2 linked regions of the Daphnia pulex genome follow. Each later gene encodes a partner of the first gene's protein in a complex. Links are inferred from orthologs where the notes say so. Each region holds a gene or a part of one and is shown on either strand. Other genes may lie near its edges.

Region 1 (4,355 bases):
AGCGGTTCTCACCGAGGACCTAAAAAGATGGACCGTGCTCCAATTGCTAGGTCAGCAATGTTGTTACTGAATTAATAACAAAAGCACACAATAAGTATATCAAGAGACGATTCGGAACGCCCATTCCGCAAGTGTCTGGAGTTGTTTATTCAACCGCAGGGCAGTAGATTCTACAAACTACTTCCTGGAAAAATGTGGTGTATGTTTGAGCGTACAGTCATCAACAAAAGTTTTATTTTGTGACAACGACAATTTTACCCCATTTCACATTGTGAACGGAGTAGAAGGGATTCCCAAAGGACACAGAACAACAGGATATTAAGAAAACATGTAATAAGATTTCATATTTTTCTTTTTTTTTTACTACCGTTTAGCGGTTAAGCGTTTGTAACCAAGACTAGAAAGTCATGCATTAGTTGTCTGTATAGCGAGTGGTTGCTATATGTGAAAGTAGTTTGCTGCTTTACATGCATTTATTCAGTTTTGCATAGATTTAACTTTAAGTGCTCGAGGAACCATAAGGAGAGAATGTGAATTGCACACAGGTCTAGTAAGAATAATTTTTATATAAAAATCATTAAAATATAAAATATTTAGCTGTTCTTTTTTTGTATTGTTCAAAGAATACATAAACATAATCGATGCTCATGTTGCTTCTTCTAGCTTCCAGATTGCTCATCGCAACATAGAAACGATTTTTTTTCGACGCCATGCAACGCAAATTATTAATTATCATTATTAGTAGCCTACTATCACAATCGTTAGCAACCGCTCGGAATGATTCATTGGTCATGACATTGAGTTTCTATATAAAATTACTTTTCCCATTAAATTAACAGCGCACGCCATTCCCTGCATCCGAATTACGTGCCATTCTTCTTTTTAGATTTTAAAGATATTTCAAAACTTTCGAAGCAGGTTGGTCCGAGAGGGGAACTCCCAAACGCAGCCATATAAATATTAGATCGGGATTCGCAAGGAAAAACAGAGATAAAGAAATGAATCAGAAACAACTTTCTTTCTGGATTGGATGGATTAGATGTCGAAAGTGATGTTTCCCCTCCCCCCAAATCCCCAATTAAGAAACACAAAAACACATAAGAAATGTAATATTTACATAGATATTAATTCTTGGTAGGATTCTGGTATTTTCATTAAAGTTTCATTGGAAATGTTATAAAATTTATTTTCCACTTTTTTCCAACGCAATTTGATTTTTATCACATCTAAGTTTGGCAACGGCGCTGTATTTTGTAACACAAATATTTTGTCTGCTTGAGTCGAAGAAGCGATTTTGTTTTTTTCCTGGGTTACTACGTTAAACAAAACATATCGGTTCTCCATACTAAAATTAATTTCCAGTTGGTTGAATATTTTTTTTATTTAAAATGGATTCTACCTCTGAGCTACCTGATGACTGTTCTCTTGTATTGGATGAAGAAGAGAAAGAATCCTTAGCCTTGGTAAGTTGTAATCAGGAGACCATAACAACATGTTGAGACTGATTGATGTGTACACCATATTTACCTTTTTTATTTTCATTAGAAAAATTTCAAAGAAGCAATAGCAGAAATTGAGGGTCATTTTACTCATAAAGCAAAGCTTCGTAGTAGGATTCATGCAACAATTCAAAATCGTCCAGAAGAATCCCATTTTTCGAAATTAGATTCAAGCATTAAAAAGAATACAGCATTTGTAAGAAAGCTCAAGAACTTTACAGAAGCTCAAAAAGAAAGCATTTTGAAGGACATCAACACATTGAACCTGACCAAATACATCAGTGAAGTTGCCAATGCAATTGTTGAAGCAAAATTAAAAATGACAGATATCGCCAGCATTCTGCAAGTGTGTGTTGTCCTTCACGAGAAATATGTTGACTTTGCCCCCCAAATTCTAGAAGCATGGCAAAAAGTGCTTTCCTTGAAGAAAGATGAAAAGGTATACCCTAGCATATTTTTATCATAATCCTATTGAAACACGTTTTTTTTTGTAGATTTCAAATCCCAGTAAGATGAGAGTCGATGTCCGATTCTATGCGGATTTGATATCGTGCGGAGTTTTGACCCCTAAAGAAGGTCTTCCTTTACTCGGTAGTTTTCTTACCAATTTGATTCATGGCGACAAGGAAGAACATAACAGCGCCACCATCATTCTTGCTTTCTGCAAGTTTTGCGGGGAGGACTACGCAGGTCTCGTTTCTCAAAAATTGCTGAACGATGCTGAACGCTTCAAAATAGCTGTTCCAACGAGCAACTGGTTGCCAGCTGACAAACGCCAAAATGTTAGAAACCTCCTGCGTGAATATTATACGTCTCTTTGTAAACATCTTACTCAGGTTAGATTCATTAGTTTGATTCCATCTCCTAGAAAGGACGTCCGTTAATTTTTTAAATATCAGGATCACAAAGAACTTCAAAACTTCGAGAGACAAAATCGGCGGATCTTACAAACGAAAGGAGAATTAAGCAACGAAAGAAAAGAAAAGCAGGAGATTTTGAATCAAAGTTTTACAAAACTTTTGAACATGACCCAACAATTTGCTGACATCTTGGCTGAGGAGTTACCCGAGCTTCGACAAGATCTAAGTCCCAGAGACGAAGAGTGTTCTGTGCTGGAGCTGTGCGAGAACATGTCAGATCAGGCACGCGAAACTCTCAATGAACTTCTGTGGGAGAACGAGGAAGGGCGACAGTTCTACGAAAGTCTTCCTAATCTGAGCGTTTATCTCCCCAACTTGATTCCCAAAGTCACCGCAGAAACTCTGCCTCCTCCCGATCCCGTCGAACAGGTACGAACGTAATCCATGTTTTTAATTTGTGTTGAATGTTAATTTATTGTTGTACTAGATGATTGATATCGAAAAAGAAGCGAAAGAAATAGAAGAAGGCGAGCAAGTCAAAGATGAAGGCGATGAAGATATCAAACCTGCCGAGTTAGAAGGTATTATATTGGTTATTGCTTTATATTTCCCTTTCAATTTTTACGGTCGTTACCTTCTAAATAGATGAAAAAGAGGATGCAGATGTTCCAGTCAGTCTTCAATCAAATAAAGTGCTACTGGATAGTTTTCTTACCACTCTGACAGCTTGCGTCAACCGTGAAATGATCGACTCAGCTGCCATTGAGTTTTCTACAAATCTAAACACAAAACACAATCGCAAGAAACTCGTTAGGTAAACCCCCCAAAAATTGAAATAATAATCGAATTATCCTTTAATGTTATATTTTTTTACACCTAGGGCTCTATTTACTGTACAGCGAACTCGATTGGATCTCTTGCCGTTCTACTCTCGACTGGTGGCCACTTTGCATCCGTACATCCCTGAAGTTGCGACAGATTTGTGTAACTTCCTCAGACAAGACTTCAAATATCATGTTCGGAAAAAGGTTAGTTTTTAAACTTGTTTATGATTAATGTTGTAAGCTTACTATTACTTATTGTTATTTAGGATCAAATCAATATCGAGACCAAGGTGAAAATTGTTCGTTTCATAGGCGAGCTAACGAAATTCGGCATGTACCCACGCGCAGATGCACTGCAATGTTTTAAACAGCTTTTGCTAAACTTTGCCCATCATTACATTGAAATGACTTGCCATCTGCTTGAGACGTGCGGACGATTCCTGCTTCACCAGCCAGATTCCCATCAGCGCACAAAAGTCTACTTGGTACACGGATTAACTCTTTTCTGGTATAAAGTTTTGCAATAATAATTCCCAATATTTGATAAAAGGATCAAATGATGCGAAAGAAATCGATGTTGGCGTCGGACTCGCGCTATCTGACGATGATTGAGAATGCTTACTACCAAGTCGTTCCCGTGGATAGCAGTGCTAGGAGTAGTCACATCAAAATCCGTCCTCCGCTCCATCAATACATCCGCCAACTTCTTTTTGTTGAGCTTGGAAACAAAGGATCTACAAATAAGATCCTCAAACAACTTAGAAAGCTCAACTGGAAAGATCCTGAAGTAGCATCTTATGCTGTTCGCTGTTTAACTTCAGCGTGGAAGGTCAAGTTTCCTAACATTCGTACATTAGCTGGGGTCGTGGCCGAGTTGACACTCTATCAGGAATTCGTTGGTCACCGGATAGTCGATGCCGTTTTGGAGGATATAAGATGGAGTTTAGAGTTTCCCATATCGAAATTCAATCAAAGGCGCGTGAGCATGGCAAAATATCTGGCCGAGCTCTACAACTACCGCATGGTTGAATCATCGGTCGTCTTCAAAGTATTGCACATTATTTAATTTGTTTTTTCTATTTTACCAGCAACTAAAATTGCTGACATAAAAAAATATCTGCAGGTTCTGTACACTTGCATCACGTTCGCAGTCAGTTTCGATTATAATATCG
Region 2 (4,559 bases), on another chromosome or scaffold:
GTACAAGATAAGCTCTTTGTCCTTCGTACGGTGTGATGATGCCAATTTGTTCTGGTTTGACTCCGGATCGAAGAAAACGTGTAGCAATCTTTTCCACATTTGACGCTTCCGTTCTGTTCAAATAGGACGTACCCGATCCAGCAATTTCCTCCTGACCCAATGTAACGTAGAAGAACATGGGCCTATCTGGCATTGGCCAAGGGAAATCTACCCCGCGAAGGATTCGGTCTTCCGCGCAAACACCATTCTGTAGTGATCCCTCGTAAAAGAAGTTGGAAGGAAACTCGGACAACCTTGGGTGCATACGGTACTGTACTTCCAAACGGAAGGGCCGGATGCCAAGTACTACCAGTCTTTCAAACAGTGATTGCGAGAGACCAGCTTTGGCAGCTGGTTTACACATCACCACTGGGCCCAACTGACAATGATCTCCAACCAGAATGAGCTAAACACCCAAAACATTGAATTAATAAAAATCTAAAACACATAATACCAAGGGATTCTTACCTGTCTTGCTCCTAGGACGACAGGGACCATGCATTCAGGTTCAGTAGCTTGCATTGATTCATCGATCAAGATAGATGCAAACTTAATGCGAGCCAAGCGAACATCACCAGCACCAACACAAGTGCACGCTAATACATCTGCTGCTTCGAGTAGCTCTCGTTCTGCTTGTCGCTTTAACATGCGGTATCGCTTTTCATCTCCCTGTGAAAGCTCACCGACTTCCTCCTTAAGCTGGACCAGCTTTCGCAACTCTGAAGCTCTATAATAGAAGTTAACTTTAGCCCCACGATGACACATTTTCGCAAAGTAAATTCTTACCCTTCAAGACATCGAACTTGATTATGCAAGGCCAAGAACGAGACGGGTGAATCAATGGCCTCTCTGGATTTCGCGCACAAACGGACCACTTTCAGACCAGTTCGATGAATCTTTTCAGTCAATTGGTCAACAGCAATGTTGGACGGAGCGCAAACTAATACTGGCCCTGATCCTAGTTTAGCCAAATGGTACACGATGGTGGCCGATGTAACCGTTTTCCCGGTACCAGGAGGTCCTTGAATTAATGTCAATGGACGTTGAACTGCTTGTTTTACAGCAAAAACCTGTAAAGCGTAACATTATGAGATAAGCAATGAATGTTCTATGTTCTATCAAGTAACAACTAAATTTTATACCTGAGATCGATTCAGCTCAGGCAAGTCAGGAGCAGAGAAATGTTTAGGGAGATGTAGGCGGAATACGACATCTTCAACCTCGTGACCGAGCAAACGATGATAAATGTAAGCTGAAACGCTACTTTCGTCAACTGCAAATTTCCGCAGGGCCGATTGCATCCTGAAAGACATGTTTCTTAGTCACTAGATCTCTTTGAAATACGAGCTCATCGGATGTTACCTATCAAAAGACGTTGATTTCCAGACAAAATCCACGACGAAATTTGTGGAACATTCTGTAGGAGCTCCGTTTGAATTCTTTAATTCAATTCCGACTTCTTCGCCTAAAATATAGTTATTTATATATTATATTATCATTATTATTACTATTATATATTAGACTGACTGTAGTTGTCTGGAAGTTTAATCACGTGCCCCAAACCAGTCCACGGTTTGTGTAGTTCCCCAAGGTAACGCAATCTTAATTCGTCACCATGCATCAGTTTCATATCTGAATTAACGAAAAATATGAGAAGGGACACTAGTGAACTATAAATATTAGGCATTACCGCTATCTGTCTTTTGAAGACTAAAGTAAGCGACAGTCTTTTTATTAAGACCGACATCCCAGCGAACGTGAACGTTGTCTTGAGTTTGGGCTTCTTTAACTCGTCGGTCGTAGTCTGCTTCAAGTTTCACTAGCGGACCAAAAATATTCTGATATTGATAGCCATCCTCATATCGCAGCAATACGTGCTGAGGTTCTTCGTCAACGCCAGGACGTTCCAGGTCTTCAAAACTAGCCTCAGGTTTCTCTTTCCACATCTCTTCCAAACGGTTCAATTGCTGGGCCGTCAATTGACGAGCTCTCATCTGTTCGGCCTCTGAAGGGCTTCGAACAAGCCAACTGAGGAAACAACGATCAGCTATAAGTGGTTTCCATTGTTCAATGTCCCTATTAGCAAGAAGAAGTTAGTAGAAAACCACACATGACAAACAGCACAGTAAATTTAACTAACCAGTTCATGTCTTTCAATGATGACTGAGCTGCACAAGGTTGGCGACACAGCAGCACAACAACTGAATCTGCTTTAGCAGGAATGAACCCCAAAACAAAAACATTTCTGACTCCACAAGAATAGCACTCCAAAACTGTTTCACCCAACGGTCCATCACGATGCAATGTAACCTCCTGAAAAATTAAGAGTTTGATTATAAACAAGGATTAAGATTTATATTTTTAAAATATTTTTACCTTGTGTTTGGCTCGTACAAGATGATTAACAATGTGAGAGCCAGAAGTATTACCTTTGCCATTGCAAAACCATTTCTTGCAAATATTACACATTACAACACAACCAGGATCATGGATGCCGCAATACTTGCATGCATGTGGTGGCAAATCTTTGCTGTAATAGCCCTCTTCATCTTCTTCCTCAAACTGGAGATCGTTCAAATTTTTCATTGCAGTAGCAAGTTGAGAATCAATCGTGTCCAGCCCATTCGCCTGAAAATGACCACAAATTACAGAAATGTTTTCAAAGTTTCACCAGGCAGGATTTCTTACCTGATGTTTTCCCATTGATTTGTGAAGGCTGGCATGATCAATTTGTGAAGCCTGGGTTTGACTCGGCAAAGTAAAATCGCGAAAATCGAAATCAGTTCCCTGAGTGTCTGCCCCAAGTAAATCATTTTCCTCGGTGTCGAGAAACGTGAGCGTTTGCGAATTGGGCCCAAAAGTGTCCACACTCATTTTGCCAAATGGTATAGCAATTAATGACGTCAATTACAATCTCTTACGGAACGAAACTCGCATGTGTGTTTTCACGGCTGTGCGAGTTTTCCCTTTTCCTTTAGTGCGATCGAAGCGCCATCTCTCGGCTTGATGGTTGATGCAACCGCCCTCTTGCGCAATCTTTTGAAAAATGTAATGAAATACCAGTTGTGTTGCACATTAGATAGGCACAGTGGCACACAAACAAACACACTTAGATCTAAGCTAAATAACAACGCTTTATAGATAAAGATTTTCGGGATCGCCAGATTATGTGCTCCTATGGTACTTTTTGTGCCCAGTCACAAATTATTATTGTTCACATTCGTGATTTAAATATTGCTTGCAGGTTATAGTTACATTGTTATACAGAAAAGAATTAATGAAGTAGAAACAGGTCTTAAACCACGATTCAGATAATAATTGAGTCACAGAATTAGGAAGCCAGTGGTTTCAGAGAAAAAGACATTTCATTTCTCGTAGACATATAGGGCTGTTCGACATCTTTTTTAACATTTGTTGCCATCGTGGCAACGCAGCAACTCATGTATTTTTGTCTGCTACGAGTGACTTGTGTTTGTTCTGCGAAATATGAATTTTTTTGAAAAATAGTGATAGAAAAGGGGGTTGTTTTGAAGTTGTGATGTGTTTTATTTATATATTAGTTCGTTATAGTGTTAGTGTTTAACTATGTCACTGTCTAATTATGCCAGTGGACTTAGTATTGAGGCCAAAACACGTTATTTGGGAAAGTTATTTGTGCAGACAACAATTTCAAGAGAAAAACATTCCACGAATCGTGCATCAAGTCGCAAACTAATCCCCCAAAAAGAATAACAAAGCTTTGGAAGTATGACACTTGCAAGAAAGCTGCTCGTGCCGTAGCAGCCGCAGCGGCAAAAGCAAAGAAAAATAACTTACCGGTCGTTCCTAGTAACAGTCAAGTTCAGAGAACAGCACTTTCCAATATAACCTCAATCAGTAGGCCCTAGTGAGCGAAAAGATACAATTTGTGTACCTTCCTTTGTAAAAAAGAAAATCTCCATTTGTGAAAATGTTGTGTTTGATTAAATTATTACGAAGAAAATGGTAATATGTTTGTGCCCCTGTTAACCAAGGTTAATACATCAAGTATTTATTGAAAATTTTTGGTTTATTATGACAATTATTCACCTAAACACACTACAGTAAGGGTACAACAGATGAACACGAAAACTGAAGTTGTTAGTGATGAATCACCGGAAGTAAATTCGACGTCCCTGATGGATTGACTTGAATTATTTAATGCAGCTGAAAATTATAAGTAATGAACCAAAATATTACTTTCATTAATTACAAAATTACATTTTAAAACATTACTTACGCAATGCATCAAAGGTGGTTTCAACCGTTATGATAGTTTCATCATCGGCAGTTGAAGTCATGTCAAAAGTTTCCGTACTTGTTGTTACATCGTTCAAGGATGGGATTGGATGAGAATCACTTATTAGAAGTGTATCTTCAATTAATGCAACATCTTCATCGAAACTGTTTGAGGTATCTTCAGTTGCAGTTTCAACATCTATCAATGGAGGTGTATCAGCCTTGTCAAAAGCAACATTGTTACGTACTTGATGATCACCATC

Evidence for each region.
Region 2: the proteins of regulator of nonsense transcripts 2-like (region 1) and regulator of nonsense transcripts 1-like are in contact, whole or in part, in a crystal structure (PDB 2WJV), measured with the Homo sapiens proteins. The link is inferred for Daphnia pulex from reciprocal best matches to the Homo sapiens genes UPF2 and UPF1. Residues at the interface, in NP_056357.1 of Homo sapiens: Val1105, Cys1107, Glu1109, Asp1110, Phe1113, Ile1114, Ala1116, Leu1117, Met1120, Met1121, Asn1124, Leu1125, Arg1128, Met1169, Pro1170, Phe1171, Val1172, Met1173, Leu1174, Thr1175, Gln1181, Lys1184, Leu1186, Asn1187, Val1188, Pro1189, Ser1192, Gln1193, Leu1194, Asn1197; in NP_001284478.1 of Homo sapiens: Asn150, Thr151, Ser152, Gly153, Val157, Asn158, Leu160, Val161, Arg162, Lys164, Lys166, Pro175, Leu176, Gly177, Thr179, Tyr184, Cys188, Asn190, Val191, Phe192, Leu193, Phe196, Pro198, Asp202, Ser203, Val204, Val205, Val206, Leu207, Cys209.

The regions. Positions count from the first base shown.
Region 1 is NC_060024.1:11,700,598-11,704,952, reverse strand, and holds the start of regulator of nonsense transcripts 2-like, read left to right. Parts: upstream 1-1,259; 5' UTR 1,260-1,388; coding exon 1,389-1,463; intron 1,464-1,545; coding exon 1,546-1,938; intron 1,939-1,993; coding exon 1,994-2,335; intron 2,336-2,398; coding exon 2,399-2,788; intron 2,789-2,846; coding exon 2,847-2,940; intron 2,941-3,004; coding exon 3,005-3,173; intron 3,174-3,239; coding exon 3,240-3,387; intron 3,388-3,449; coding exon 3,450-3,668; intron 3,669-3,733; coding exon 3,734-4,231; intron 4,232-4,306; coding exon 4,307-4,355. UniProt on the Homo sapiens protein: Involved in nonsense-mediated decay (NMD) of mRNAs containing premature stop codons by associating with the nuclear exon junction complex (EJC).
Region 2 is NC_060017.1:7,855,525-7,860,083, forward strand, and holds the start of regulator of nonsense transcripts 1-like, read right to left. Parts: upstream 3,093-4,559; 5' UTR 2,914-3,092; coding exon 2,728-2,913; intron 2,668-2,727; coding exon 2,416-2,667; intron 2,353-2,415; coding exon 2,180-2,352; intron 2,116-2,179; coding exon 1,730-2,115; intron 1,672-1,729; coding exon 1,567-1,671; intron 1,505-1,566; coding exon 1,402-1,504; intron 1,342-1,401; coding exon 1,182-1,341; intron 1,110-1,181; coding exon 826-1,109; intron 767-825; coding exon 508-766; intron 446-507; coding exon 1-445. Other genes in the region: uncharacterized protein LOC124197441, read right to left, coding at 4,100-4,224, 4,298-4,558. UniProt on the Homo sapiens protein: RNA-dependent helicase required for nonsense-mediated decay (NMD) of aberrant mRNAs containing premature stop codons and modulates the expression level of normal mRNAs.